Linked DNA regions of Rhinolophus ferrumequinum. The protein of the gene in region 2 binds, or shares a complex with, the protein of the main gene of each other region. Links are inferred from orthologs where the notes say so. Each region holds a gene or a part of one and is shown on either strand. Other genes may lie near its edges.

The links.
Region 1: the proteins of F2 (region 2) and SERPINC1 are in contact, whole or in part, in a crystal structure (PDB 1TB6), measured with the Homo sapiens proteins. The link is inferred for Rhinolophus ferrumequinum from reciprocal best matches to the Homo sapiens genes F2 and SERPINC1. Residues at the interface, in NP_000497.1 of Homo sapiens: Leu389, Leu390, Cys391, His406, Cys407, Tyr410, Pro412, Trp413, Asp414, Lys415, Trp455, Arg456, Glu457, Asn458, Leu459, Asn506, Thr510, Trp511, Thr512, Ala513, Asn514, Val515, Gln519, Arg541, Ile542, Asp562, Ala563, Cys564, Glu565, Gly566; in NP_000479.1 of Homo sapiens: Lys258, Glu264, Asn265, Arg267, Tyr285, Glu287, Gly288, Lys289, Glu345, Met347, His351, Ala419, Val420, Val421, Ile422, Ala423, Gly424, Arg425, Ser426, Leu427, Asn428, Pro429, Asn430, Arg431, Val432, Lys435.
Region 3: the proteins of F2 (region 2) and F2RL3 are in contact, whole or in part, in a crystal structure (PDB 2PV9), measured with the Mus musculus proteins. The link is inferred for Rhinolophus ferrumequinum from reciprocal best matches to the Homo sapiens genes F2 and F2RL3. Residues at the interface, in NP_034298.1 of Mus musculus: Glu385, Leu386, Leu387, Cys388, His403, Tyr407, Trp410, Asp411, Arg428, Arg453, Glu454, Asn455, Leu456, Trp501, Gly502, Asn503, Trp508, Thr510, Gln516, Arg538, Ile539, Asp559, Ala560, Cys561, Glu562, Gly563, Asp564, Val585, Ser586, Trp587; in NP_032001.2 of Mus musculus: Asp54, Lys55, Pro56, Asn57, Pro58, Arg59, Gly60, Tyr61, Pro62, Gly63, Lys64, Cys66, Asn68, Asp69, Ser70.
Region 4: the proteins of F2 (region 2) and SERPINA5 are in contact, whole or in part, in a crystal structure (PDB 3B9F), measured with the Homo sapiens proteins. The link is inferred for Rhinolophus ferrumequinum from reciprocal best matches to the Homo sapiens genes F2 and SERPINA5. Residues at the interface, in NP_000497.1 of Homo sapiens: Arg383, Pro386, Glu388, Leu389, Leu390, Cys391, His406, Cys407, Tyr410, Pro412, Trp413, Asp414, Lys415, Trp455, Glu457, Asn458, Leu459, Asn506, Arg541, Ile542, Asp562, Ala563, Cys564, Glu565, Gly566, Asp567, Val588, Ser589, Trp590, Gly591; in NP_000615.3 of Homo sapiens: Gln241, Lys295, Lys296, Arg297, Thr368, Ile369, Phe370, Thr371, Phe372, Arg373, Ser374, Ala375, Arg376, Leu377, Asn378.

What each region holds. Positions count from the first base shown.
Region 1 is NC_046305.1:8,763,018-8,770,605, forward strand, and holds the start of SERPINC1 (antithrombin-III), read right to left. Parts: upstream 3,017-7,588; 5' UTR 2,913-3,016; coding exon 2,872-2,912; intron 961-2,871; coding exon 591-960; intron 288-590; coding exon 72-287; intron 1-71. UniProt on the Homo sapiens protein: Most important serine protease inhibitor in plasma that regulates the blood coagulation cascade. AT-III inhibits thrombin, matriptase-3/TMPRSS7, as well as factors IXa, Xa and XIa. Its inhibitory activity is greatly enhanced in the presence of heparin.
Region 2 is NC_046294.1:14,304,407-14,311,969, reverse strand, and holds the start of F2 (prothrombin), read left to right. Parts: upstream 1-4,550; 5' UTR 4,551-4,593; coding exon 4,594-4,672; intron 4,673-5,050; coding exon 5,051-5,214; intron 5,215-5,894; coding exon 5,895-5,919; intron 5,920-6,159; coding exon 6,160-6,210; intron 6,211-7,527; coding exon 7,528-7,563. Other genes in the region: ATP synthase F(0) complex subunit C2, mitochondrial-like, read right to left, coding at 921-1,265. UniProt on the Homo sapiens protein: Thrombin, which cleaves bonds after Arg and Lys, converts fibrinogen to fibrin and activates factors V, VII, VIII, XIII, and, in complex with thrombomodulin, protein C. Functions in blood homeostasis, inflammation and wound healing.
Region 3 is NC_046301.1:50,264,272-50,270,878, reverse strand, and holds F2RL3 (proteinase-activated receptor 4), read right to left. Parts: upstream 2,478-6,607; 5' UTR 2,286-2,477; coding exon 2,177-2,285; intron 1,902-2,176; coding exon 787-1,901; 3' UTR 512-786; downstream 1-511. UniProt on the Homo sapiens protein: Receptor for activated thrombin or trypsin coupled to G proteins that stimulate phosphoinositide hydrolysis. May play a role in platelets activation.
Region 4 is NC_046289.1:8,631,051-8,638,709, reverse strand, and holds the start of SERPINA5 (plasma serine protease inhibitor), read left to right. Parts: upstream 1-4,655; 5' UTR 4,656-4,774; exon of another isoform or gene 4,775-4,784; intron 4,785-7,659. UniProt on the Homo sapiens protein: Heparin-dependent serine protease inhibitor acting in body fluids and secretions. Inactivates serine proteases by binding irreversibly to their serine activation site. Involved in the regulation of intravascular and extravascular proteolytic activities.

The DNA.
Region 1 (7,588 bases), on a different chromosome or scaffold from region 2:
GCTTCTCTAGCTCCTCAATCTCTAAGTGGAAAGGAAGAATTCTGAGGTCAGGGATGACGTCTGCAACTCACCTTGAAGTCCAGGGGCTGGAGCTTGGCTCCATACACCACCTCACTGATGTCCTGGTAGGTCTCATTGAAGGTAAGGGATTTGTCTCCAAAAAGGCGGTTGGCTGATACCAACTGGGAGGATTTGTTGGCTTTTCGATAGAGTCGGCAGTTCAGTTTGGCAAAGAAAAAGTGGATCTGATCAGATGTTTTCTCGGAGATGGTATCAAATTTGAAAACCTGTAGAAGCCAAAAGAAAATGCTGGTGGGTCTGGTGGGGCATCCGGGCTAATGTGGTGAGCACGGTGCAGTCAGCCCCAGACCGAGTGCCACCTCTGGTGTGACCTCCTTCAAGTACAGTGACTGGCACATCATAAATGTTCTGCTCATGCTTTCTAAATGAATACATGGATAAAAGAATAAAGGGTAGGAAGGAGAAAGGGAAAAAGAAACACAAGGAGACTGGGATATGACCTAAGGTCTCTAAAGGGCTCCAGGCCCATACATAGTAAGGACGCTGGGCAGAAGGACTGTGGACTGTACCTCCATCAGCTGTTTGAGGGTGTTGTTACAGGCACCCAGCTTGGTCATTGCAAAAGCTGTGGAGATGCTCAAGGGTGACAAGAAAATGTTGTCATTGTCATTCTTGGAGTCTGCCAGGTGCTGATAGAAGGTGGTGGCAAAGTTGGAATTGGCCTTGGACAGTTCCCAGACCCGCCGGTTGGTGGCCTCAGGGATTTTCTGGTCTGAGCCCTCGTCCTCAGTTGCCTTTTTCTCTGAGGAGCGGTAAATGCACATGGGATTCACAGGAATGTCCCGAGGCTTGGCAGTGCAGATGTCCTCTATGGGGCTCCAGTGACAGGTCACACAGCCCCAGAGACCAATGAGCAGCAAGGAAAGAAGACATACCCTCCTATAGGGGGACAAAAAGCTGAGTTAAGCTAGGCTGGGAGACCCCCTATCCCCACTGCCCAGCCCAGACTTGGCCTAGGAAAGCTTAGGATGCCAGCCCACCCGGTGTGACCTAGTACTTTGTACAGAGCCCAGGATGAGTCCAGTCCTGGATTCCTAGTCAGTGGATAGTTCCATTTGCCTGGACATAGTCATGTCGAAATTAGAATCAACTATTGAAGCAACTGATGCTTATTCAAGTATGTGTGCCTGACGCCCCATGCTGGGAGAAAGAATGCAAAGCCTCCAGCTGTGACATGGGATGTGCGCACATGAAAAACAGTGCCCAGTGAAGAGTGAGGGTTGTAGGAGGAGCTGTTTACAGAGCTGCCTAGGGAGGCCTCAGAAATGGATGGACTTTACCCTGGGTGTTCGGGTTGGAAGGATTTCGATTGATACTGCGGAGAGATTTCAGATACAAGAGGGGTGAGAAGGAATGAATGGGGCAGAGGTGCTATCTGTGTGGGGAGGACCTCATAACAGTAGCTCCAGCCCCAGCCTTCCGCTGAGCTCCAGACTGATTGTTGGCTGCACAATTCCACCTGGACGTCCTACACATTCCTTAATGAAATACGGCCAAGCTGAACTTGCCAATTTCCCCACATACCTGTTTCTCTTTCCATGTCCTCCAACTCAGCAGATGGGCCCCTCATGCACCCTGCTTCCTCCCTCACCTCATTTAGTCAGACCCTAGATTTGATCGATTCTGTTTCCTTGCCCTCTCACTGCCTTAGTTCAGGCCTCATCCTTTTCTGTGGCCTGGAAATTGTAATAGCTTCCAGCATGGGTTCACTAAAAGTAAATGAAACTAATTTCACTTTTTAAAAAATGAGATCATGAGATTGGTAAATTAGGAGAATTGTGACACCCAAGTAAGCAAACCAAGAGAGAAAACACTTGTGGTATTCCGTAGCTAAGACGGGTGCGGGGATTGGGGGCAGGGGCTTCCTGTGGCTGACGTGGGTCCCTCCGTCTAGGGAAGGGAGTGTGTGTGTGAGGAGCAAGCCTTCTCAGTCTTCCCCTGGCAGAAAAAGACAGGCATGCAGTGCAGAAAGGATTAGCTGAGGAGGCCTGCTGGGCCAGTGTGGGACTCGCTGGCGGGAGCTGGGGGACTTGGCTTCGTGTGTGAGCTGAAGCCAACTCTGTAGCCGTTTGAAGAACACAGGCCTCGAGTGGGAGAGAAGTGGAGGCACCGAGGGAGCTGTGGAAGGCGGCGTGAAGAAGCAGAGACAGAATCTTGTCATTCATGTCTCCCTCTTGCTGCCTACTCTTTCCCATCTTGTCCCTCAGCTACATTTGGAAATACAAGTAGAGGGCCCTGGGAGCTCTGTTAAGCACAAAGCAAAACCAAGGTGACCGAGCCCTAGCCTCACTTGTAGCTTCCTACAGCTAGCCAGACCAAGGTGATGGGTGGCGTGTTGAGGGAGAAGAGGGCTGCAGTCCTTTCGTCAGTCACAGGTCACCGAGATCTTGGGGTGGGAGGTGGGGGGCAACCGAGGGGAAGGAGGAGCAAACAGGGTGTCAGGGGGTCCTCACAGTTTAAAATTGGCCCTCATTTCAGATGTAGACCAAGCCCCGGAGTTCCCCTTGGAGGGTCTCCTGGACTGTGAGGGCTGGCGTGGTGTCTTCACACAGGGAAGAAAGACGTCCCGTTTCTTGAGCTAAGAACCCAAGGTGTGGCTTAGGGAAAGGCCTGACCCCAAGGCGGGTGAGAGGGAGGGCGCTGGGAATGACGTCTCCAAACAAGTTCTTTGATTGTAACCACCAGGGAGAGGGCTTGGTCTCCTCGAAGGTGTCAAGGTCACCTTCCTGAGTCCTTCAGAGGTCAGAAGACCCACTGAGGGCACGGAAAGGGGAAGCTCACCCCTCTTACCTTTTTCCAGCAGCTACAGTTCCTATCCCATTGGAAAACATGGCTGCTAATCCTCCACGGGGCTGGGCACTGTGGTCTGAGGCAGTCGCTCTGGAAACTGGCTCTTTCCTCCCAATCTAACTGAGGTTCCAGAGGCGAAGGTGGGGGAGAGGCAGGGGAGGAGGGGAGGACTGAGGTCAAAGGCTGATGACCAGCCCCAGGGTTAAGCAAAGTGTGGAGCCCCATGTTGTTTGATTAGTAGAGAAGTTTTAAAGTTCAGTCAGGCCCAGGGAAAGCAAGGCCCACCTTTCTTACCTGTACTCCCTCTATCTCTTCCTTATCTTTATCATAGAAAAGGAAAAGGAGAATGTGTTCACAAACTCAAATTAGGTCAGAAAGTGCCTGACTGAGGAGAACTGTGCAGGATTTTTTTTTTTCCTGGTTACCCAAACCCAGAGTAGAAAATAGGTGAACATAACTTGCCAAGTTGAGTGTCTGGAACGTTCTAGCCTTCCACCTGCTCAGTGCAATACCCTTTCTTTCACAGGTTTCTTTAGGAGAAGCGATAGAGAGTCCATAGTATCTAATCAGAGCGGGAAGAAGAGGATTTTTCTGGAACAAAGTGCTATTTTCAGGCTTCTAAGAGTCAACACATCTGTGACCCAGACCAGGACACACGATGGTTACACCTGTGGTCCGCAGATGGAGCCCTTCCCCGCTCAGCCCTGAAGTGACGGGAGGAGCCACAAGAGCACAAGTATCCTTGGGGTGCATGCCAGCGATATTTCTAAGGTGGATGAGCTGGTTGGGAGGCACTTAACACAATTCGACTGGGGGTCAGGAGGCCGTGTGTGGGGCCGGTAAAATCATACAACTGCTGCAATACCTCTTTGAAAGCAAACAAACCGAATTACCTTTTTTGCGTGCATTGTTTTTTTTACTTATTTTAGTTATTGGGGAGGTGAAATGAATTCAAACTAATGTACATAAAGGGCCCATTTATTTATATTTTCCTCTTCCTAAAGAGCCAAAAACAGTATCACCAGGATTGCTACAATAGTTCACAGGGTACGTCTGCACTTTCTGTGTGGAGACTCTTTGAAGTTGGTACAGTCATAGGAATTCTCGAGAGTTCTCTAATCACGAAACAGGAAATCTCTATCTGGACTGAAGCTGTGTGTAAGTTCTTGGCTGATTTAGAGCCTGGACACCTTACGGACTCCCATGTGCAGTGCGAACAGTTACAAGGACCTGTCCTAAAGGACCCGAGGATGCTAGAGGCTCCTTGTCACTCCAGATTAAAGACAATTGAAAATTCTCCCGTCCAACCACTTGTGTCCAGTAAATACCTGGGCATTGTTCTAGGGGCTGGGGACCCCAGTCAGAGGAGACATGCAACGATCACATAAAGAATCAGTGTATGAATCAGTATTAATAGAGGCCATGGGGAAACATACAACAGGGCAAGGGGATAGAAAGTGATGGGGGAAGGTGGGGAGGTTACCATTTTAGAAAGGGTGGTAGCAAAGGCCTCCCTGATGAATCGCTGCAGGGCTGCAGAATGCTCCATGACCCTTCGAAGGGAAATCTGGCAGTACCAACATTGCAAGTGAATTTACCCTTTGCGCTGGAAGTCCCACCTCAGGAATGTCTCCTACAGATACCTGCGCGGGTATGCATGCGATCACCAGCTGTAACCTGATTTGTGACAGCAAAAGATTAGAAACAACATCTACAGGAGACCAGTTCAATAAGCCAAGGTACCTCGCCCACTGGAAAACTGAGCCCTGGTCAGAAAGGATGAGTTTCCTCTCTGTGTGCTGCCAGGGAAGGGCTTCAGGATAACTCATGGGGGAAAGGCAAGCTGCTGAGCAGTGTCTCTAGTATGTCACCTTTTGTATCACAAAGTGGGAATGGTGGGGCTGAGGGGTGGGCACTCAGAGTGGGAGGAAGACTTGCCAATATGAACCTCCTTATTCCATTTTCTACTTTTGAACATGTCAATGTATTTACCCCCTCCTCAAAAAGGCCGTGACTTTATGAGCAGAAGGGGATCAGTGTTGTATTCCTCAGAGGCCTGGGGAGAGGGGACTTCCAGGGCATGTCGGAGGTGGAGGCAGCACCAGAGAGGAATGAGAAGCAGGCTGAGCCCCTGGCTGGTGACAAAGGAGAAAAGGTGAGTGAGACCAGCCCAGTTCAGTGTCCGAAGGCGGAATAGAGCTGCTTAGCTGTGTCCTGCCTGGCAAAAACTTTCTAATGGCAATATAATACTCCATTGCCTATAATTTAACTATTCCCTCTATTAGCTTAGGTCAAATTCTTTAAATCTTTGAATATGATAACAGGTGCCATTTTAAGCTCTTACTATACATATATGTTTATATACAAAAGAACACAGTTATTACAGAATTCTATAAAATATCATGTGAAAAAGAGTTTTGTTATATTTTAAAATACTGATTGGTAAGATCAGAGGAGACAGTGATTAGGACTGAACTATTCAGAAAAATCACAGTATGTTAACAAAGGCATTAAAAGAGATTTAAGTCCAAGGTCTATATGCACTCTTCATTGATGTGTAAGCAGAGACAAAATCACGAGGAAGTCCGCCTCATCAGAACGATTGGTGCTCTGATCCCAGAATGGCAGGGAAAGTCACGGCACCAGCCGAAGCCCTGGCTTTGTCACATACTCGTTAGCTATGCGATCTTGGTTGTGCAGCACCTCCCTCAGGGTCACATTTTTAAAATTTCTGAATGGGGACAGAGTATTGATCTCTCAGGGATTTTTAAGGATTAAAGATCATTCATGGGTTTACTGTGATAGAGTTCATATGGTTACATTTCCTCCTGGGAACACAGCTGAATTCTCCTTTCCAGCCTCCCCTACAGTTAGGTGGGGACACAGGATTACATTCTGGGCAATGGGGTGTTGGTGGCCATGATGTATGCCATTTCCAGCAGAGTCTCCTAAAATGGCCCCTACAGTCCTCCAAGCTCTGTCTCCATGTTCAGGATAGACGACTTCAGGACTTGGAAGAACATGGAGAATTTATCCATCATCAAACTTGGTGGCTAAATGACTGTACTCCCAGAAGGCCCTCATTAGACTGTGACGTGAACATAAATTTGACTACGGCTATGGTTGTATAGAAGTTAGCTGGTACCCAAATACTACAAAAATGCTGCGATGTTTCTTTTTTCCATTATTAACTAGTAGCTTCTGAGTAGCACATAATATTAAAGGGAAGTCTACTGTCTGACAACCCAAGTGCCATTTGATCTACTTAGATTAATTAATTTAGTTAGCAATGTTTATGGAACCCTGATATGCCAAGGTCTGTTCTAGACACCGAGAATAGGATGGTAAATTTCATGTGGTCCCTGCCTTTATGTAGCAAATATTCTAGTGAGTGAAACAGAAAATAAACAAGCTAATGGACATAAACCCATATACAGAGACACACGCACATATGTATATATGTTTTTTGTTTTTGTTTTTTTAACTTACTGCATGCCAGGATCCATGCTAAGTGCTGTACAGGCATTAGCTTATATAACTCTCTTGTCAGCTCTACCAGGAAGATGCTATTCTGCTCAGTTTAGAGATGAGAAAACGGCTGTTCACAAGGGTTAAGAACTTGCCCCAAATTACAAAGCTGGCAAAGCTGAGATGCAAATCCTTGTCTGCCTGTGTCACAGGTCTTGGGCTCCTACGTGATGGCTGTGAAGAAAACATCCATGTCTTCCCTGTCCAATTGTTTTTCTTGGGGCAGGGTTTATGACATGCCACCATCTGGATAGTCTCTTCCAGTTTTTCCATGATTCCCTCAAAATCCAGGGCCTAGAAATGAATCCAGGAACTGCCACCTTTTTCTTTGGTTACTCATATTTTAGTAGAAAACATTCTCTGATGCACATTCCGAATGTGCTTCTGAGTTGTTCTTCTGGGGTCCTTCACACCAGCCTCGTCTCTGGTTCTCACTGCTCACAACTGTTCTTGCCTGTCTCTGTCTAGATTTTGATGACCTGAGTCCCCTTCCCCTTGATTCGTCTTAGTTGGTTTGATGAGGAAAGGAAAAGAGCGTGTATGCAGGGCTCTGGGTGACTCCCTATCTACCTATCTATCTAGTCATCTGTCTTCCCCCCCACACACACACACACTGTCATTAGTCTTCTGTAAAGTGTTTTAATCATTGTAAATATTTAATATATAAAAGTATGTTTAAATCAAAGTCATAGAAACTGGTAACCCTTTCTGGAAGCGGAGGCAGACTTCGGAACTTTTACCAAGTACATAGTAGTTTTTGAAAAGGCTTCCCCACATCTGAGTGGAAGCTGGCAGGACAGCTCTTTGCTTTGCTGTGTTAAGGGTAGGTGTGGGGAGCCACGAAGAGGAAAGAACATAGCATCCAATCACCCTGTCTCTTTTTTAACACGTCGAGGTCAGTACTAGAACAAGAATCCCCCTCTCCCTAGCCCTGCCTCCAGTCTCAGCTGCAGCCCCCAGGAGCAGGTTATTCAGCTGGTCCTTGCCACTGCCTCACATCCGGGCTACTCTGTTCTTTCCTTTGGATCCAAGAGTAAGACCTGGGTGGGGTGCAAACAGCAGAGCTGAGCTCCTGCTGTGGTTACTGTGTAACTCAGAGCTTAACTTCCATGGAAATTTGGCAAAACATCTAACACAGAAACCAGAGTTGCCTGTAACTCTCCCCGGCTTCCAGTTTACTAGGTGGTTG
Region 2 (7,563 bases):
CTCACAGAAGGGATGCTCTCCCACAATCCTCTGCAAAGTAGAGTATTCACCCAAGAAAACATGGAGGCTATCTAAGTAGAATCTACTTAATACTTGCCATACTTGTTTCATCTGTTTGTTATAAATTCTTCAGTATAATCTATAACTCATGAGAATTTAAAAAAATATAGCCATGTGTCAAATAATACTTAACTATATTAACAATAATGCTTTCCTATTACTGAGATCCAAATCTATATTCAAACTTTTTTGTTTGTCAAAAAAAGTCTTTTTTTTTAATTTTTTAATTTTTTATTTTTTTATTCAAAAAACTAAACCAATGATGGTAATTCGATTTCCTTTGTGCATTTGGTTTTTAGATTTCTCTTAGGTTTCTATTATTCTGAACAGTCTCTTTCATCCACCCCTTTTATTTCCATGTCATAAATTTGTCAGAGAAACTGGAGTTATTTGTCATGTCAAGTGTCCCTCATTTCACCACGATGTGGTGGTCTTATTCTTTTATCATCTATATTTCCTGTAAACTAGTAATTAAAACAAAGCTTTGATTTGATCCAGGTTCGCTAGTTTAGGAAGAACCCTTCATAGCCAGCATTGTGTATTTCCAGTTTTATTATCATATCACATAACAGTGCTGTTTATTTAGTGCTTACCATGTGGCAAGCATTGTCATACTTCACAAACATGATTTATTTGGGGGGTAAGTAGTTTAGTTTTTTTGTTTTTCTAATGCAGTATTTATTTGTCTTTCCTCGGTCAAACCCTGAGCCTACCACTTTTCCCCAGGCTGCCTGGGGAAGTATAGGAAAAGGAACATACAGGGCAGATGAGACGGGAGAAAGAACTATGGGAGGTGGAGACGGCTCCTTCTCATAGTAAGGATGAGAAAGGCCACCATCAGGCAAAAGAGCTGCAGGGCCTCAGAGGGCAAAGCCAAGAATGGCGTAGGAGAAGAGCTGTTGCTTTAAAGAAGGGTTCCTGGCATAACGAGTGATGAGGCTCCCAAACACGGTCCCAATTCCAGCCTCAGCCCCAGCCCCAATGCACTTGGCTACTGTGTTGATGTCCTTTGAAATGGCGCCTGTTTGGAGGCTGCGGCTAGAAATAAGTGCGGTCAGAATATGTGGGGCTGCCAAGCTGCTGAGGCTCTCATCTGTCAGTGTCTCAGGCCGTTTCAACACCACTACAGACAGTGACTGGCTGGCTCGGCAGCTGATTGGTGCTCCTGACCAGGGGGTGGAGACAAGCCCTGCGCAGGCGCACATTTTCAGGGGATGAGGGGCTGTGGCAGGAGAGCTATTCCCAGAGCAGAGAAGAGGACTGGTTTAGTTTTTATTTAATAATGATAAACTTAACTCTGAATCCATCTAGACCTGGAGGGAGATAAGGATGGAATCCAAAGAATTGCAGCAAGCAAGAACACAAAGATTACAGGATGTGAGAGCTGGAGTTATTCTCAGGAACAAAAGGAATCGTTGGAGATAAGATAAAAACAAAATCAAACTGAGAGTGGCCTCGAGTCTTCTTGCTGGTCTTGCCATTCCTGGATCCAAAGCGCCCCTTCGCTTCTACAATATGCATGCCGTCTCTCTCCTGGCCAGAACTCCTGCTTGCCATCCAACCCATCAGTCTTCACCGTGCAGATGACACACTGGGAGCCATTTGGGTTGGGTCCAGCATTTGTCATGAATGAGATGGCAAGACGCATATTCTTCAAAATGAAGTTCTCCCCCTAGATAGACTTGCTGCCGATACTATTATGGTGTGTAAATTCATCACCCTGACAGGTAAACCCAGAAATAAGTCTAGGAAAGCAGGAACCCTTATAACCGAATCTCATCTTCCCAGCGCTCAGAGAACTGAAGGATTCTGCTTTGGAACATTGTCTGCAAATAGCTTGAAGAAGACGTGGCCCAACAAGTTGACCGTTAATGGCCATGTCTACACGTGGCCTTGGCGAAGCTGCCACTCCAAATAAGAGTCAGCAAAGAGTCCAGCATGATCTTACTTAGCTGCAAGTGAACATTGGTATAATTCTGGTTTTACAGATGGTGAGACCAAGGACTGGCCTCCCAAACTAGTAATGTCTTCCGTGCTGTGGTGCTGGTCTGTCAGGATTGGGGATTTCTGACAGTGAGGAAACAAGGGGGCAACCCCCCGGGCCCCCAAACCCTCAGTAGAAGAGGTGCCATGTGTTACGTGTTTTGTCCTTCTCCCTGCTAACACCCCACACTCCTCCCACACCTGCCCCTTACCTGTTCTCCCTCTCCAGGTTGAGTCAGCAGTGGCCCAAGCTGGTCCTCAGAAAAAGAAGGACCACTTACCTCCAGACAGGAAGGATGAAACCACACCTCTCTTCTCTCCACTTCTCAGGAGCCCTCTCCCTTTCTTTACTCAACATGGAATTTTTAAAGAAATTAGTGAGGTGAGATCTTTTCACCATTCTAGTTAAAAAAAGGGAGGGGGGATAGGCTCAATGTCATTAGGAACAGGGATACAGATTAAAACCACGATGAGACACCTACATGTCCGTCAGAATGGTTAATACGAAATGGCTGGATAATGTAAGGTGTTGGTGAGGATATGAGCAGCTGGAACCCGCAGACGTTGCTGTTGACACTGTAAACTAGCACAGCCACTTGAAACAATTATTTGTCACAGCAACTTAGCCGAAACATATGCCTGCTGTATGAGCCAGCAAAGCCACTCCTGGGCCTGGAGCCGACAGAAACAAGTGCTTATCAGTCCCAGAAGACTTGTACGTGATTGTTCATAGCACTCTTCACAATAGCCCCAAACTGGAAACTGATCCCAGTGCCCAATCAACAGGTGAATGGAAATAAGATGTTCCATAGTCATCCAATGAGAGACGACGCAGCTTTTAAAGGAAGGACTGCTACACGCAGCGTGGATGAATCTCAGAAACGTGCTGAGCGAGAGAAGGCAGACACAAACAGGTATATCCTGCAGGTTTCCATTAGATGGAGTTCAAAAACAGGCAGAACGGGTCTGCGGTGATGGTGGTTAGAATAGAGGTTCTCTTAGGGATGACGCAAAGGAGGCAGTTGGGGGCCGGAAATGTTCTCTCTCAATCTGGTGATGGTTCCATGGGTGTGCGCATGAAAATTTGAGTTAAACACTTAGGATTTGTTTTAACATTATGGTATATACGTTAAATCTCACCTTAAAAAAGAAAAGAAAAGAAATATATAACATAAATATATATAAATCTAAATGTAGGAACTGGGCAACCCAGGAATTAAGCTGATTCGTGGGAGTCCTGGTCCCCAGTTCTCTGCATTGGGAAGAGCCCTCCCTGTGATCTTCCCAGACTGTACAGAACCGCAGTCCAGACCCTGAACGGTCAGTCCCGAAGGACAGCCAGGTAAGAATCTGTGTTTCTGCTCTTTGTCCCTCTGTCCTACTTAGACCTAGGACTAATATTTACCTTGTGTACTGTAAACAGGAAGTGGGGGAGGGGCGGGAGCAGGGCTGGGCAAGGGGCAGTGTGGGACCACCAGGTGCTGTAGGCTGGCCAGGCCTACAGGGGGAGCAGGAAGGGCCCCACCGTGAGACCCTGGGAACTGGGTTGGCCCCTGTTTCCAGAAGCCAGGCAATAGGTTCTAGGAGATGAGAGGAAGCAGAACAGAAGCCTAGGAGGCCTGGCCCTGACTCCTCCTCCCGGGCACCCCTGCACACAAACACTCCTCCACAGCTCCCCAGGTGGGAGGCAGGGAAAATGGGACCTTCCTTCCGTGGCTGAGAGGCTGAGAGCAAATGTTGGCTGTCCCTGCCCCAAGTGTGTCCTAGGGCAAGGTGGGCAGCGCTTTGCTGACTTCACCCTTGTCTCTCTTGTATCTGTTTGTGGGAATCACACAAACCTCCCTGTTGGTTTACATCCATGTACCTACTGATTAGTAAGCACTTTCATGGGCTTTCCATTCACAATCTCCTTTAATCTTCCCATCAAAGTACTCTTCCCATGTACAGATAAGGAAACTGAGGCACACAGGGATTAAAGCAACCGTCACCATATGTTAGGATTGGAAGGAATTGCAGAGACCTTGTGAACCCACTGGCCGCAGTTGGCACATGTTCAGGGAAGTGGGGGCTGGATGATGGTGGTTACATTGGTCTTTCCTTTGGGACTTCCTCCCAGACCATCCATCTCTGGTCCTAGGAGGACCTGTGCTCCCAAATGGCGGGTGGATTACCCTGTTTCCCAGAAAATAAGACCTAGCTGGACAATCAGCTCTAATGCGTCTTTTGGAGCAAAAATTAATGTAAGACCCGGTCTTATTTTACTATAATATAAAACCTCGTCTATAATAATAATGTAATATAATGTAATATAATATAATATATAGTATAGCATAATATAATAATACCAGGTCTTATATTAATTTTCGCTCCAAAAGATGCATTAGAGCTGATGGCCCAGCTAGGTCTTATTTTCGGGGAAACACAGTATCTATTCACTTGTCCCCATGGCCCTGACCTGCTGACCACTTCCTCTCAGCTGGTTTCTTCATAGTAGTTTAACATTAACCTGAGAGGTCAGGATGAGCCCTCTGCGTCCCAAGCCGACACACTATGGCGCACGTCCGAGGCCCGTGGCTACCTGGCTGCCTGGCCTTGGCTGCCCTGTTTAGCCTTGTGCACAGCCAGCATGGTAAGGGGGGCTTGGAAGCTGGGATAGGCTGGCAGACTGGGATACGGGCCCATGGCTGAGGTCCCCTGGCTCGATAGAGAGCACAGAGCCAGCCCCAGGTGGGCCTCAGCCACAGTATCCAGCTTAGGGAAGGAGTCCAGTGCTCAGATCTGGCCAGACAGTGACGACTTCTCTCTTGCCATATGGGGAGTGGACTGGGGTGACCCATGAAAGGAGGGGAGCTAGTGGGCTACCATTAGCAGCCTTTCAGGTCCTGCCGCCATCCCAGACACCCCTTTTCAGAAGCCAGCAGGCCAGGCCAGGCTTGCTTCCTGCCCCCACGATGGCCAAGACAGCCAGGCTGCCTCAGGCCACTGTCCCATGCCCCTCCTACTGCAGTGTTCCTGGACCCTCAGCAAGCAATGTCGCTGCTCCAGCGGGTCCGACGCGCCAACAGTGGCTTCCTGGAGGAAATGCGCAGGGGCAACCTGGAGCGAGAGTGCATAGAGGAGCAGTGCAGCTACGAGGAGGCTTTCGAGGCGCTGGAGTCGACCAGTGCCACGGTGAGGGAGGGAGGGCCAGGCTGCTCGGACGAGGGCCGGGATCCCTCCCAGTGGGCCCAACTCTAGGAGCACAAGTGAGGGGAGCGAGGAGCATCCCAGCTCTTTAACCTCATTCTATCTCTGGGCCCCATTTCACTGGCTGCCAAGGTGAACAACCTGTGGACCTTGGAGGTCCAGATGTCTGGTCTTGGGGGCTGATGAGGCTCCAGGACATCGGGAGGCCTCTCAGGCTTCAGACATCTGTCTACTTCAAGATCTCTGGAGCCTCTGCCCCCGTGGCCTCTCTGCTTCAGCTTTTCTGCTAAGTCTCTGCGATCTTGGGGCGTGGGGCTCTGGTGGGGCTGGGAGCCCTGGGCCTAGGCCTCTCTGTTCCGGGAACCCTGCAACCTTTCCCTTCCTTGGGGCTCTGCCTGAACCCCACGGCCAGCACCCCATGCCCTCTCTTCTCTAGTCTACCCCACCCAGGGGAATCCCTTTCAGACTTGGGTGCGGGTGGGAAAGCTCTCCTCTCTTTAGTGGGCCGGGGCAGTTGGAAACAAAAGCAGGAAACTGCCACAAACCTTCCCAGAGTGACCAGGGTAAGGGAAAGAGAAAAGTATAAGGAGAAGACATAATGTTTACTAAAAACCAAAACACAACAGCATCCTGCCATAGCCTCATGCTCAGCCCTTGCTTTTCAGGATGCCTTCTGGGCCAAGTACACAGGTGAGCACTGGGAAGGGTCTGCTTCAGGAAGAAAGTCCTGGGGACCCCACTTAGAGAATGTACTACTCTATGGTCCATCCAATCATCCACCCCCACCCCTGCCTCTTCCCTCCCTCACACCCTCCCTCCGTCCCTTCCATCTGTCTGTCCATCTCTCTGTTTCTGAATGTCATCCCACCCTTTACTTGAGCCCACCTTGTCCTTACCCCAACTCCAAATGTGTTTCTGGGTCTTTTCCAGCTTGTGAGTCGGTGAGGAAACCTCGAGAAAAGCTCGTTGAATGTCTGGAAGGTGAGGAATCAATGTGGGGGTGGGAGGTCAGGATATGAAGGGGACTGCCTGGGAGGAAAGCAGAGGCGTGTGGGTCAGCAGGTTGCCCAGCGGCGGCAGCCCCCAGCTTCTGATTCTGCCTTTCTGTTCTGCTGTCAAGGCTATTTTGCACCTAGCTCTGGTAAGATGATTAATGTTGAAGGAACAAATGAATGAATGGATAATGAATTAATGTTCAAGGCCTCATTCTCATCTGAAGCCCTGTCCATGCCAGTCTTCCCCATGTCTCCAGGGCAGAGCTCCGAATATGTCACATTCATTCTCCAAAACCTTGAGTGGCTGCCCCGTGCCTCCAGCATAAAGCACCAGCTTCTTAGACTGGCAAACATTGCAGGTTCTGGCCTTAACCTCCCCTTCTAGCGTTATCTTCCATTGCACCAACCGTGAACCCAGACCCCAGCTACTCTGACAGCAAGCTCTTCTCCGAACATGCGAAGATGGTCCTACTTCCTGGATCTTCCTTACATTGTCATCTTCCTACTGAAAATCTCCCTGTCCTTCAAGGTCTAGTTCAAATGGCACCACCTTGCTGAGCCTTCTGAATACACTGTTAGTGTGACGATGGACCCCACAACATGAACTCTTTAATCACTGGCCATACTTTCATTTGTTAAATCACTTATTAACAGACATTTCACTACGCCCCTGCTAGGTGCCAGGCACTTTGTCAAGTGCTGGATGTTTTGAGAGAATCAAGAAGCTCACAATTTCATAGGAAAACAAAACCATAAAACATCAATGTAATTGCAGGAAACATTCTGTTCCAGGTACCAAGAGAATGCCAGGAGAAAGAGCCTTTAGTTTGCTGACAGAATCAGGGACAGCTCCCCAGAAGCAGCAGAGTTTTACCCGGATTTGTGAGATACATTGATGGACAAACAGGAGAGCATTCCCAGGCAAAGAAAATAGCATGTGCAAAGGCCCTGAGGCACGAGGCGCTAAGCTGACAGGATAGGTAGACCAGGGTCAGGTTAGGCCTTGTTCACTTTTTCATCCTGCTGGCCATGAGGACCCACTGAATATAAGCTCCATGAGGGCAGGGACCTACTTTAATCATGACTGTCTTATTCATCACTATGTCCTTAGTACCTGGCACTGCGCCTGTCCCTGTGTCACAGTAAATATTTGGTGACTACTGTTAAATGGATTGGAGTACTGCTGAATGCAGAGGAGGTGCTGAGTAAGTGCAGGTTAAGAGTTGTGAGCCAGAAGGAGTTTGGAAGGGGTAGATGGAGCTTTGCTAAGACAAAGGGGGGGGACGGACTGGGGTCTCTGCAGGTAACTGTGCTGAAGGTCTGGGTATGAACTACCGAG
Region 3 (6,607 bases), on a different chromosome or scaffold from region 2:
CCTCCTATCAGGTCCTGGGGGAGGGGAGTCAACATCAAATGAGAAAAATCAGATGTCAGGTTAAGGGGAAGAAGTGACATCTTGCAGCCAAGAGCTAGCAGGAGACTAAGCCCCGTTGCTCCCAATGATGAGTTCCGCAAGGCTTTGGGGAACAGAGTGGGGGTCTCCGCATTGCTTGCTCAGGAGACGCCCTGTACCCTGACGCCTGTCCTGGAGCCAGAAGCTGGGCTTCTGAGAACAAGGACCACCAGTTAGGCTCCCAGACTCTTGAGCCACCAGGGGGTGGGGGGCCTAAGCTTCCTCGGTAGGGACCTCCAGCTGGTCTAGGGTGGCTTCAGCCTCCTCTCATCCCCACCTTGGACACGAGAGAGCCGGCTGAGCCCGGGAATCTGCATTTACCCCTGTCATGGTTTCCTGGGTTTCTGTCACCAAGTACCACAAGCCAGGTGACTTAAACAACAGAAATTTATTGTCTCAGTTCTGGAGGCTGGGCTGAGATCAGGCTGTGGGCAGGACTGGCTCCTGCAGAGCCTGCGGGAGAGTCCCTCGGAGGATGCTCTCTGGTTTCCGGTGGCTGCCGGCAGCCCTTTGTGTTCTGGCCTGTGGCCCACTCACCCTGATCGCTGCCTCCGTAGTCATGGCCTTCTCTGTGTGTATCTCGCATCAGTCATGAGGGGTTCATACCCCAATATGACCTCATACTCATTACACCTGCAAAGACCCTATATCCTAATGAACAAGCTCATCAGAGGTTCCTGGTGGACATGAACTTGGGGGGCACCCTCGTTAACCCAGTACAACCCCTCTCTGTTGCCCTGCCTCCTGAGGGCCGGTCACAAGTGACGAGGACCGGGTGCCTGTGCCCGGGCTGCCCCTCTCTCTGGAGGTCTTGGTGGCTCCCTGCACCCGGCGCAGTACCACCTCCCGCACTTTGTCCCTGAACTCAGCTGATACGTAGTAGTAGACGAAAGGGTCCACGCAACTGTTGAGGGTGCTGAGTGCCAGGCTGGGCACGTAGGCGGCGTACAGGTGCCTCCAGGCGTCCAGGTCTGGGTCTGAGTAGTGCAGCAGCAGCAGCACGTTGCTGGGCACGAAGAAAGCCACGGCCGAGGCGAGCACCAGTGAGGTCAACCTTAGCGCGTGCCTGTAGCGCCGGCCACTAGCCGCCAGCGCACGCAGAGTGGCCCCGTAGCAGAACAGCATGGCCAGCAGGGGCAGGAAGCAGCCGAGCACAGCCAGGCAGAGGAAGGCGGGGCGCCAGTGGGAGGCCTGGGTGCCCACGGGCAGCACGTCATGGCAGACCACGTGGTCCGAGCGCGACAGCCGGAAGGTTTGCTGCTGCAGCCCCAGGGGCAGCACGAGGGTGACTGCTACCAGCCAGGCTGCAGTGCAGAGCCCAGTGGCCAGGCGCTGGCCTCTCAGGGCGCGGGCCCGCAGTGGGTGCACCAGAGCCAGGTAGCGGTCCAGGCTGATGGCCGCCAGCAGCAGCACGGAGCAGTACATGTGGCCATAGAGCGCGGCCATGTCCAGGCGGCAGGCGGCCTCGCCAAAGGGCCAGCGCTGGCCCCGCAGGTGGTAGGCGATGCGGGGTGGCAGGGCCAGGGCTAGTAGCAGGTCGGCGGCTGCCAGGTTCATGAGCAGCACTGTAGACGGCAGCCGAGGCACCCGCGTGGCCAGGACCCACAGTGCCAGGCTGTTGGCGGGCAGCCCGACGACCAGGACCAGCCCATAGAGTGCGGGCACCAGCCTTGTGGGCACCCAGCCCAGCAGCAGTGCCCGAGAGTTGTCCCAGAGCTCCAGAGTGTCGCTGTTGTTGGCGCAGTGCCAGCCAGGGAAGCTGCGTGGTTGAGGTGGGCAAGGGGTCGCTGCCTGGAGCCTGGTCCAAGGTCCCAGGGTGCCATCTGGGGGAGGGAAGGAGGATGGAGGCACTGAGAACCCAGGCATCACCCCCCTTCCTGCCCTTCAGCCAGTACCTCCAGTGAGATGGTGCTGCCCTCCCCACTGACGCCCCCAGGGGCTGCAGTCCAGGCCCCAACTCAGGAACCTCCAGGCTGTTGGGACAGAGCTTGACACAGTCCCTTGGCTTCAGGACTGGGCTGGTGGGACCCCAGTTCTGCGTCCTGCCCATCTCTGATACCCGCCTGCACAGCCCCAGGCAGCGCCTGGAGTCACTCACCATCTCCGCTCCCTGTGCTCCCGCCCTCGTCGTAGATGCTGGGGGTCTGAGCGCCACCCTCCAGGCTGAACCCCAGGGCCAGGGGACACAGCAGTAGGAGTACCCACATGCTGTTGGATGGAGCTCCGTGCCGGCTGCTCTAGGCCGCGGCGGACTGAACTCCGGCTTCCCGTTTGCTAGACCCCCCGCCCCCAGCTTCCTGAGCACAGGCAGAGGGCAGAGAGGGCTAGCAGACACGGCCTGGTGAGATAAACCAGCCCCTGCCTCCAGCCAGCCTATGGGTGGCCCACGGATGACCTAAGGTGGCCTGCTGGCTGGCACCACTTTGGCAGAGGTGCTTCACGGTGTCCAAGTGTTGGGCCAGTAAGATGGGGGAGGACGTCCTAGGCTGCAGCACCTCCACCGGCCCCTGTCCAGCTCAGGAAACCTCTGTGGTCCAAGTGGTTACTTCCTGCTGGCCAGTCGCAGTTCCCATGACAGCACAGCCTTCCAGGTCACATTCCCCGTCAGGGGCTCTTGGCCTTTCCCGAAGCCTCTCCCACCTCCGTCTCTAGCAGGCAAGAGGAGAGCCCTGCCTTCCAGGTCAGAGGTCAGAGCAGGTGAACCAGCACCCCCACACCCCTACACACACACCCAAGCACCCCAGGTTTTCTGTGGGGGCTGCCCCTGGGCAGGTACAAAGTGAAGTGTGGAGAGGGGAAGGCACCTTGTGAGTCTGGGGTCTGCTGGGGATGGCCAAGGAGGTGTCACTGGTTGGCTGGAGCCTCTGACGCTGACCATGTACTGCCCTGGGGGTCTGAAGGGATCCTGGCTGCAGTCTCCTCTGGGAGGTGTCCATCTGGCTGGTTCTGGAAGTTCCTTCTGTTCCTCTCCTGGCCCCACCTCAGCTTGGGGTCCCAGGTGTGACGGGGAGGGTGGTCATAACCATATCTGAGCCCAAGGGAGGCGGCCAGCACAGAGGATCCTCTGCCCACCCTCCCGGGAGCCCTCCTTTCTCTGGCCCCTCCACATTTCTGCACTCAGATGGGGTCCACTGTGCAGATGAAGAAACTGAGGCTCAGAGGGGAGGGTACACCTCTCCCCTGCACTCAGTCTCCCCCCTCATTCATGCCCCTGCAGGCCCCAGAGAGGCCTCCACTCTCACTGCCCTGGGGGAGCCCCTCACTGGAGGTTCTCGACCCTGTGCAGTCATCCTTGGGCCATGGTGGCAGGGGGCATGTCTGGGAGCAGGAGGGCCCCCAGGGGACGGTGGGGGGTCAAGGAAGAAAAAAAGCACAGGGGTGGGAAAAGGGATCAGATATGGTGTGTCTTGGAACAACAAGCCCTAATCTAGTCACACACTCCGGGCCCCGCAGGAAGTGACTGAGCAGCCTAGACAGTGGGGCTGGAGGCTGAGATGCTGAGGTCCCTGCCCTCAGCCCCAGGGTGGGGGGTGGGGACCAAGGCCTAGAGCACTGCCGCTGAGGCAGGAGGCTGTCCTGTCTCAGCCAGGAGGCTGTCCCCCATTTCTGAGCAGTTTCCACTGGTACCAGTGACAAATTCAGTCCCATGCCCATATCTCTGGGCACCACATGACTGGTGATGCCCTCAGTGCAGGAAAACTGGGATGGGGACCCTCTGCCACCCTCCAGGGAAACCTGTGCAGGGGAACGGGGGGCTGGAGACACTGGGCCAGGGCAGACTGGGGTCCCCCAAGGAGGGCAGTTTAACTCAGGGGTTCTGAGTCCAGGAATTTATGACACACACCTTGCAGGATGGCATCTGTACAGGGATATTCCCGGCAGCACAGGGCAGAGGGTGTCCCCTTCACGAAGACAATCCAGTGTGAGCAGGAGGGAGGGATCCCAGACAAGGCAGATGGAGGTGCAGGCCGCTGTCCTGTCCCAACTGGAAGACAAGCCATGTAGAGGCACCTCCTGGGGGACCCTCGGGCAGCTGCCTTTGGGGAGAAGGACTTGGTCCCTTACTTTTCTCTGTATGCTTCTTTGTACAATTGAAATTTTCTGTATGTGTGTCCCTTTCCATGAAAGCTTGTGTTTAAAAAAGGCAGAAAGGTAGCTTTAAAAAGAAAGGGAGTCCCCGGTTTCGGCACCAAAAAAAAAAAAAAAAAAAGAAAAAGAAAGGGAGGACCAGCCCGGTGGCTCAAGCGGTTGGAGCTCCGTGCTCCTAAAGCCGAAGGCGGTCGGTTCAATTCCCACATGGGCTAGTGCCAGATGGCTCAGTTGGTTGGAGCGTGGGCTCTCAACCACAAGGTTGCCAGTTCGATTCCTCGACTCCCACAAGGGATGGTGGGCTCCGCCCCCTGCAACTAAGATTGAACACGGCTCCTTGAGCTGAGCTGCCGCTGAGCTCCAGGATGGCTCAGTTGGTTGGAGGGCGTCCTCTCAACCACAACGTTGCCGGTTCGACTCCCTCAAGGGATGGTGGGCTGCGCCCCCTGCAACTGGCAACTGAAACTGGACCTGGAGCTGAGGTGTGTCCTCCACAACTAAGATTGAAAGGACAACAACTTGACTTGGAAAAAGTCCTGGAAGTACACACTGTTCCCCAATAAAGTCCTGTTCCCCTTAAAAAAAAAAAGTGGTTATTAAAAAAAAAGAAAGGGAATTCTGATGCATGCCACATGGATGAACCTCGAGGACATGATGCTGAGTGAAATAAGCCAGACACAAAAGGACAAATACTGTGTGATCCCACTTATATGAGGTCCCTAGAGGAGTCAGATTCATAGACAGAAAGTAGACAGACGGTGGTGCCAGGGGCTGGGGGAGGAAAAGGGGGAGTTAGTGTTTCATGGGATCAGTGTCAGTTTGGGAAGATGAACAAGTTCTGGAGGTGGATGGTGTGATGGTTGCCCAACGATGTGAATGGACTTAACGCCGCTGAGCTGTGCTGTTAAAAATGGTTAACATGGTAAATTTTGTGTGTATTTTACCATAATTTAAAACTTTTCTTAAATGGTGATAAAAAAAGGCAAATAGGCCCGACTCAGCAGCGAGGCAGTCCTGGGTTTCCTCAGCCTCCAGCCCCGGCAGGAACCCCGGAGGCCCTCCCTTACCACCTCTCCCGCACCTCACTGTCCTCAGTGGAAGGTGGGGGTCTCGGAGTGGACAAACCCAAGTCCTTCCAAAGCAACTCTTCTCAGGTAGCCGTCTTTGTGGGAACTGTGTTGTCATTATGTTGTATTTTGAAGCCAGATGAGCTCCCACATGTGCCTCCAACTCCCTTTGTGCCCAGGCTGGGCCTCTGTGAGCAGGACGTTAACCCACTGGACTGACTCAAAAGGAGGGGGCTGTGATCCCATCTTGCTGGGTGCCAAGACTTGAAGTCCAGCCCTCCAAACCCCAGATGCCCTGAGCTTCTGTGGGGCAGAGTCCCAGAAAGCAGTTTCCTGGCTCTCGGCCTCACGTGGAAAGGTGCTGGCCAGTTATTAGATGGCCATCAGCTGTGATCAGATGGCCATCCACTGTGGCTGGGTGGCCATCAGCTGTTACCGGTTAGTCATTAGCCACTAATATAACTGCCGTGGTACGCAAGGGGGTTGGTTAGTTGGTTGGCAGAGAAGCGGACGGTTTATTGCGGATGGATTGTGGATCGTGTGGATCCTACATCAGCGGTCTCTCCCGGCCACCAGCGAGACTAGTGCAGGAAGACCCCTTGGTGGGGTGCAGGCAGATGTTTACTTCCTGTGTCTCTACCAGCCACCGTGGAGAATATGTAAGTACCTCAGCTGTGAGCCCATATTGTTCCAGCACAGTGCCCTGAGAAACCCTGGCTGTGCCTAGAAGTAGGTGGACATCGAGGGACACCCCCTGGGACATTACTTGAACTAGACTGAAACTTTTTCTCATGAGTTGGGTTCCTGACACGGGGCCCCTGGCGGAAGACACTTGTCCCGTAGATTGTGAGGCGAGACCCTATAGGGGTGGAGTGTGGGGACAGAGACAGGACAGCAGTTTCCAGGCTCTCGGCTTCACATGGAAAGGTGCTGGCTCGCGTAGTAGATGGTCAACAGCTGTGACTGGTCAGCCATTAGCCACTGATATAACTGCCGTTGCTAGGCTAGGGGTTGGTTGGTTGGCAGAGAAGTGGACGGCAGATTGCGGATGGTGGGTTGCGGATCGTGTGGATCCTACTTCCTGTGTCTTGCCCGGCCGCCAGCAAGCCTGGGGTACAGGAAGATCCCTTGTTGGGGTACTGGCAGATGTTTGCTTTTGTGTCTCGACCAGCTGCCAGCGAGAATATAGTGGTATGACTCCCCCACCCATGGCTCCGTGGGTGTTCCTTTTTGGCCTCACCATATCCTGCGTTCTTGTGTGGGGAGCGGGAGCTGAGTCCCTGCATGACAGTTTCCACCCTGGGACCCCAAATCTGAGTCTGTTCGACCGTGCCATGGTCTGGAGTTTCCACACTCAGGGCAGCAGGGAGAAG
Region 4 (7,659 bases), on a different chromosome or scaffold from region 2:
ATGGTGACAAGTACTTCCAGAGACATCAAGAGGCCTCAGAGAACTGAGTATAGAACTTGGGTTTTAGAGCCAGAATGCCCGAGTTCGAATGTGAACACCACCAGTTACTGAGTGTGTTAGTTTCTTAGGGCTGTCTTAACAATAACAAGCAGAAATTTATGTCTCACAGCTCTGGAGGCCGGAAGTCCAAGATCACGGAGTGGGCAGGACAGGTTCCTTCTGAGACGGGGAGGGACCCCCTGCCCCAGGCTCTCCCCCAGCTCCTGGTGTGGCTGGCAGTCTTCAGTGCTCCTCTGCCTTCCTCTCACATGGCGTTCTCCCAGAGTGTGTGTCTGTGTCCAGATTTCCCCTTTTATAAGGACAGCAGTCATACTGGATTAGGGCCCACCCTTCTCTACAACGGCCTCATCTTAACTAATTACATCAGCGGTGACCCCGTTTCCAAATAAAGTCACCTTCTGAGGCACTGAGGGTTAGAACTTCATTATGATGCCATGGGCTGCCGCTCTGTGCCTCAGTTCCCTCACCTATAAAATAGCGATAATCCCACCTAATGTATCACTACGGGGATGGTGCGCTTTGTTTTTCTTCATATCAGTGGAAAAATAAATCGATTATGACCCATCTGGTCCATTTAATATTCTGACCCCTGGCCCATCCCGTGCTCTCATCCCCATTGTGATGGACTGAATTGTGTCCCCCCAAAATTCATATGTTGAAGCCCAAACCCTAATGAGATTATATTTGGATACAGGGACTTTAGGGAAATAAATAAAGTTAAATGAGGTTATAAGGGTGGGGCCCTAATCCCATAGGACTGGTGTCCTTAGAAGAGGACGAGACCCCAGAGCTCGATCTCTCTCTCTCTCTCCCCCTCCCCCACCTCTTCCCGTGTGCACAAAAGGCCATATGAGGACACAGCAAGAAGAGTCCATCTATAGCCCAGGAAGACAGATCTCACCAGAAACCAACGCTGACATCACCTTAATCTTGGACTTCTAGCCTCTAGAACTATGAGAAATAAATTCCTCTGGCTAAGTCTGAAGAAAAGACTGAAGAGAGACATTATTGTCAAGCTGCCAAATTACCAAAATCAGGTAGATTGAGATATGAGGAACTGATTCTATTCTTTTTTTTTTTAACTAGCCTGGGAACTTAAAAACATCTGAACTTTCCAGTCCTGTATTCGTGCCTGGACATAGATCAGACCTCCAGATAACCCTCTGAAGACTCCCTAAAGGGCTAAGGAAAGAATGCTCAGTTATCAAGACCACCTGACATCCAGTACCCAGACCACCTGACATCTAGTACCAAGACCACCTGACATCTAGTACCCAGACCACCTGACATCCAGTATTCAGTCTGACTGACATCTAGTACCCAGACCACCTGACATCTAGTACCCAGACCACCTGACATCCAGTACCCAGACCACCTGACATCCAGTATTCAGTCTGACTGACATCTAGTACCCAGACCACCTGACATCCAGTACCCAGACCACCTGACATCTAGTACCCAGACCACCTGACATCCAGTATTCAGTCTGACTGACATCTAGTACCCAGACCACCTGACATCCAGTACCCAGACCACCTGACATCCAGTACCCAGACCACCTGACATCTAGTACCCAGACCACCTAACATCCAGTACCCAGAACACCTGACATCTAGTACCCAGACCACCTGACATCCAGTACCCAGACCACCTGACATCCAGTACCCAGACCACCTGACATCTAGTACCCAGACCACCTGACATCCAGTACCCAGACCACCTGACATCCAGTACCCAGACCACCTGACATCCAGTACCCAGACCACCTGACATCTAGTACCCAGACCACCTGACATCCAGTTCCCAGACCACTGGTCCTCTGGAGGATGACCATCTGGGACCAATCCAGAGGCTCATTGTGGAGGACAGATTCATCTCAAGAACATAATTTTTTCTATAAGAACTCTTAGCTTTTCTTTCTTCTTCAGAACACTCTGGATATTGCCTAGTTGTGTTCGTTTATAGTTTGCAAATCCTAAATCCCTTGAAAAATTATTTATCACTTATTTCTAGCCAAAGCCTCCAGACTCTTTGTGAGTTTGTTCAACAAGCCACCCAGTCTGTGGTAGTTTGTTATGGCAGCTCTAGCAGACTAAAGCACGAGGGCATCATGTTCTAAGAAGCCCTCAAACCTCTCCCTTCAAAATTTACCCATCCTCCACCCCCATTCCTTCAGAACCCTTTCTGAGTAGCAATGTGGAGTCAGGGGTTGCTACAGACATCCCCCCAAATTTGAGACATTCCTTAAAATGCAAGCTTGGAGACACGAATAGCACACACAGACTGGAGAAGCCTTTTAGTATCTTGGTTACTCCCATCTTCCCCAAGTATTTCAGCTGGGACATATTCTGGGCTATTGTTCTGGTTTCCTGTTGCTGCTGCAACAAATTATGATGAAGTTAGTGGCTTCAAACAACACAGATTTATTTTCTTACAGTTCTGGAGGCCACAAGTCAAAATAGGTCTCACAGAGCCACCATCAAGAAGTTGACAGGGCTTTCTTCAGGCATTCGTTGGCCATGGCTTCACATCACATTGTCTGTTCTCCTGTTTCCATGACCACATTGCTTCCTTCTGGCTCTGACCTCCCACCGCTCTCTTATAAGGATGCTTGTGATCACATTTAGGACCCACCTGAGTAATCTGTGATAATCCCCAAGATCTTAACTTAGTTATATCTGCAAAGTGCCTTTTGTCGTATAAAGTAGCATTCACAGGTTTCAGATATCAGGACATGGCCATCTTGGGGGTGGGGGCTAGTCTCCATTCTACCACAGGTGTGTAATAATGATTTCCATCCTATAGAACAGGGGTGTCCAAACTGCGGCCCACGGGCCAACTTTGGTCCGCAATCCATTGTTAATTGGCCCGCAGCAAATTCCAAAACTATATTTAGTTTACTTAAATAAACCAGGTGAGGCAATACGTACTTCACCTCGAGTGAGTGGCCCGGCTGTTTGTGTATTCTACCGCATATGGCCCTTGGTGAAAAATGTTGAAAAAAGTTTGGACACCCCTGGTATAGAACATAGTTTAGGAATCTCTACGTTATGAGATAAAGGATTCTTGCTTATGTCACATGGCACAATAGCAACAAAGCAAAACCTAGGCAGAAGGGACCCAGCTACCCCCTTGCTAGTGCCTTTCCTCATTAGCTGTGTGCTGATTACCTAGAGTGGTTGGGCTGATTACCTAACCACTCTCAGCTTCCACCTTCTCACTGACTTGGTGCGGATGCTAGTACCCACCTTCCAGGGCCTCGTGAACACAAAGCAGGCACTCAATACCTGGTAGGGACTGTGTTTGTTTCTAGACTGAGGCAGTGCTGAGGATCCCCTTTGTAGCATTGTTGTAAGCATTCAAAGAGAAAATGGGCCATAAACAGACCCTAAAATCATGGAGAAAGAAAGGGAACTGTCTCAGAGGTTGTAGAGAGACCCTGTGTTGCTGAGCATCAAGAGCCTTTCCCTTGGGAAATGCCTGGTCCTCTGTCTCCTCTGCCAACTGCACACCCCACTTGCACCCCCACAACCTTCTGGATCATGGCTACACACAGTGCACCCCAGTATTAGGAAGTCCCTAGGAATGAAGGGTTGAGTCGGCATCAGCATCGTGGAAATACTCTTGAAAGTGTGGGGCTGAGTTCAGGAGCTCCACTTTCAAGGTAGAAAAGGACAGTCGAGCTGACCCCACAGAGATCTTAGCCCTTTTTTAAGCAAAGAGCACTGACCTTGAAGTCGGAAGCTTGGACACTCAGCCCCACTCTATCCCTGCTTTGATGCAGGACTCTGAAAAATCCCTTCATCATTCTGAGCCTCAGTTCAGTTGCTGGCGCAAGAACGGGGGGTTGTTCCAATGATCCCTTCTTTTCAGTCATCGTGAGACTCTCTGGACCCCTCTAATTTCCACGAGAATCTGGCTGGTGGGTCCATGAACACAGTAAGCACGTAGGCCTGTGGGGAGCTTGAATTCATATGCCACTCCCCAGATCTACAGCAAATTGACTGCAGGAAACAAAGGTATCAGCCTGGCGAAAGGGCGGTCGGCCAGAGGGTGTCCCTTTCTCTGTGTCTGGAATGCTGGCAGCTGGTTGCCTGTCTAGCCTCTTCTCCCAGGAGTTCCTGTGCCACTGCAGGCAAATGGTGTCTGAAGCCACCACCTTAAATACCACCTTCAGCTAAAGACAAAACAAAATGTTGGGGTTGGGAGGGGGGTCAGTTATGGAACGGTGACCAGGAAAAGCACAGGAAACAGGGGTCAGGTCGTTGTGCAGGTTTCAGTCCAGGCCGTCTCCATCAGGCCTGGTACGTTCCAAGTGTAAATGTCCTTTCACAAAGGGGAACTTCTAAGTGGGTTTCAAGGCTTCTCCCCAGACTGCCATGTCTTAAAATTAACCAGCTTAGAATAATCAATATCCCCAAAGGGGCATATGTTAGGGTGGCCAACTCTGCTCCCCTTCAGGGGCTTGCAGGGCAGTGGGCGGGTGGCCCTGGTCAGAGCTCAGGTGGCTTTGCCCACAGCCTAATTGTTGGCTGGAAGCCGGCTACAACAGGACAGGGCAGGGCTGGCTGGGGCGGGGCCAGGGAGGGGTGGAGTCAGGTCCCTGCTGTGGTCAGTGGCAAAAGCTGGCTCCACTCTAGCCAGCCGGCTGCGCTTTCCAGAGCCCCACAGACCATTGTGCCTCCACTGTGTGCATACTGGGCCACGGGACAGAGTAAGTACAGGTACTGCCGACAGAGGACCTGTGGGTATGAGTGTGTGTGAGGAGGGCTGAGAAATGGACTCTGGAGTTATGGGGTTTGGAGGGCTTGAAAGCTTTGGAGGTGTCCCAGAGTGAGCCGGAAAAACTCCCCGCAGTGCTGAGGAAAGAGTCAGCCTCTGAGACGGCAGAGGTGACCTTGGGCACAGCAGGAAACCTAGCTAAGCCTCAGTTTCCTTATAGGTAAGATGCAACGTACTGCACCTCTGCAAGGTGTGACTGAAGATTAAGTAAGGTGATGGTTCTCACCCAGGCATGATTTTATCCCCACGGCACATCTGGCCGAGGCTGGAAAGATCTTGAGTTGTCACAACTGGAGGCGTCCAGTTGGCGTCCAGTGAGTAGAGACCAGAGAGGCTGCTAAACATCCTACAATGAGCAGGACAGTCCACTGCCACCCCCACGACAGGGAATGATGCAGCTCCAAATGCCAACAGTGCTGAGGCTGAGGAAGCTTAAGGAAGTGGGGACAAATATCTGGTACACGGGGTGCTCCGTAAAGCATTGCTTGCGTTGTTCTCTGTGCCTGGAATTGCTATCCTTTAGAGAGCAGGAGAAATGATCAACGATAATGTTTCCCTAAGATAAGGCCACCCCGTCTGGGGCCTGCCACCCAGTGTGCTCCTCGGCAGCTGCTCCAGCTCCAGAAGCTTTTTGGCCATTTGTTAAGTAAACAAAACAGAAATATAAAATGAGTGGAATTTTTAGTTTTTCTAAGGATGAGGCTCTTGGCAAGAAATGCAACAGTAAAGGGAAACTGCTCCCCTGGCCAATATCCTCCTTCACAGTCAAGACTAGGCAACACAGTGGAAGTTTGGCAGGTGATGGATGCGTTTATGGTGGTGATGGTTTCACGGATGTATACTTACCTCCAAACTCATCAGGTTGTACACATGAAATCCTACTTTAATGAAGTGGTATTTAAAAAGAAAAAGACAGGAAACTGCGTCTGAGCAGCAGGGGGAGTTATTCAAGGTCACCTGTCGAGTTAGCCCCAGGGCCGCTGGAGCTCAGCTCTGGAAGCCCCGCCTGGCTGTGTTTCTAACATGTGGTCCGACACCTCTGAATTACAGAGAATGAGACGGGTTCATTCACTCATTCATTCATTCATTCCACAAAGGTAGCGGAGCACCACCCCTTGACTGCAGGGAGGACAGATGAGGGGCCTTTCTATTGTGAACACGTATCCTAGTGGGTGAGACAAGTTGGAACAAAAGAGGCCAACAACAAATGCATATGTAATTGTGCTTATATAATTGACTGAAAGATAAAAGAAACAATGAAGGGGCCAGTGGAGAGGGAGGACCAAGCATGAAGAGGGTGTCAAGGGGAAAACTTTCCAGCATCAGCCTGAGGCCTGCAGGGATGCTAGCCCTGGTGAGAAAGGTGGAGAGAGGGTTCCAGCAGCATGTGCAAAGGCCCAGGGGCTTGCTGTGTTTGAGGCAATGAAAAAAGAAGTGCGCCCAGAGGACCCACACAACTGAGGGCAGAGCAGGTCAAGTTGAGGCTGGTGAGAGCTGGGCAGAGCCCGGCGGCATGGGGCTCCGTGCGTTGTTGCACAAATCAGAGTTAGATTTTACCCTGCAATGAATGGGCAGCAACAGTATTCTTAGGCAGCGGAGCACTGTGACTTTGTGAATGAAGGCGATTCTTTCAGATGCTTTGTAGAATGGCTCATGGGGACAGGAGAAGTGGGGCGATCCAGGTAAAAGATGGAAGGAGCTTCCATTAAGGTAGTGGCTGGAAAACTGGGGAGAAGCAGGCAGATTTAAGACACACTTTGGAGCTAGAAACTGACAAGCCTTGCTGATGGTCTGAAGATGGCGGGGTTAGGAAAGTTCCCTAGACCACAGCTCGCAGGAAGCTCTGCCCCTGGCTCTTTAGGTCCCAAGGGAAGTTGGGTTTTTGTCTCTCTGCCGGGGCTCCATCTTACATGTATTTTTGTAATTAGCAGATTGTGGACACACCCACCTCAGCCACACAACTCCGGCAGCTGAGTCCAAAATTGACCTGGATGGGAGTTTGTTATCTAGCATTTAAAATGAATGACAGCAGATTTGGGGTCCATGGATGTTAGGGGAGCAGTGGGAGGTCTGCCCAGGGCCTGCCCACCCCCAGCTGACTCAAGTCCCTTTGGCCTGGTGAGAAAGGTGGAGAGAGGGTTCCAGCAGAGAGCAGAATGTGCAAGGGCCCTGGGCTCAGCTGGGGCTTTCTGTGCTTGAGGCAGTGAAAAAGGAAGTGTGCCCAAAGGATGCACGCAACTGAGGGCACCGCTTGAGTGCTCCGCTCCCTTCCCTTTGACATGTGAGGGCATTTCTGCAGAAACACTGACTTTAGGGACCCAGGAGAGAGTCAGCCAAGTCAGGCTTTGCTTCAAATGGGAGGCCAACTGAGTGCCGCCTGTGCAGCTCAGCCAATAGACTGACACAGGAGTTGGCTATAAGAATGAGTGTTTATTATCAGAGCACCCGTGGTCTGAAGAGGCAGTGGGTTAACACATCCAAAAACTGCCTTAACATCCTCCGACTGGCTTGGGGTATCCAAGGGAAATCTGGACGTTAAGCTACGTGATGGGGGTTGGGGTGGGGGGTTCTGCTTGGAGCCTTCCCTCTGGCCAGGCGATTCTCTGGTGAGGTCAGCAACCCAGGAACAATGATGGGAGTATCCTGGAAAGAATACTAGACCATAGAGATTGTGGTCAATAAGCCTAAGGGTGTTAACGGTAAGTGTCAGGGTGATTTTATGAAACAGGGAACTGGGTGGGACAGGGGTCATTCTGAGCTCTACCATCAGGGGGATGTTCCGTTGTTAAGCTATAGGGAGGTCAAGGAAAGGTGAGG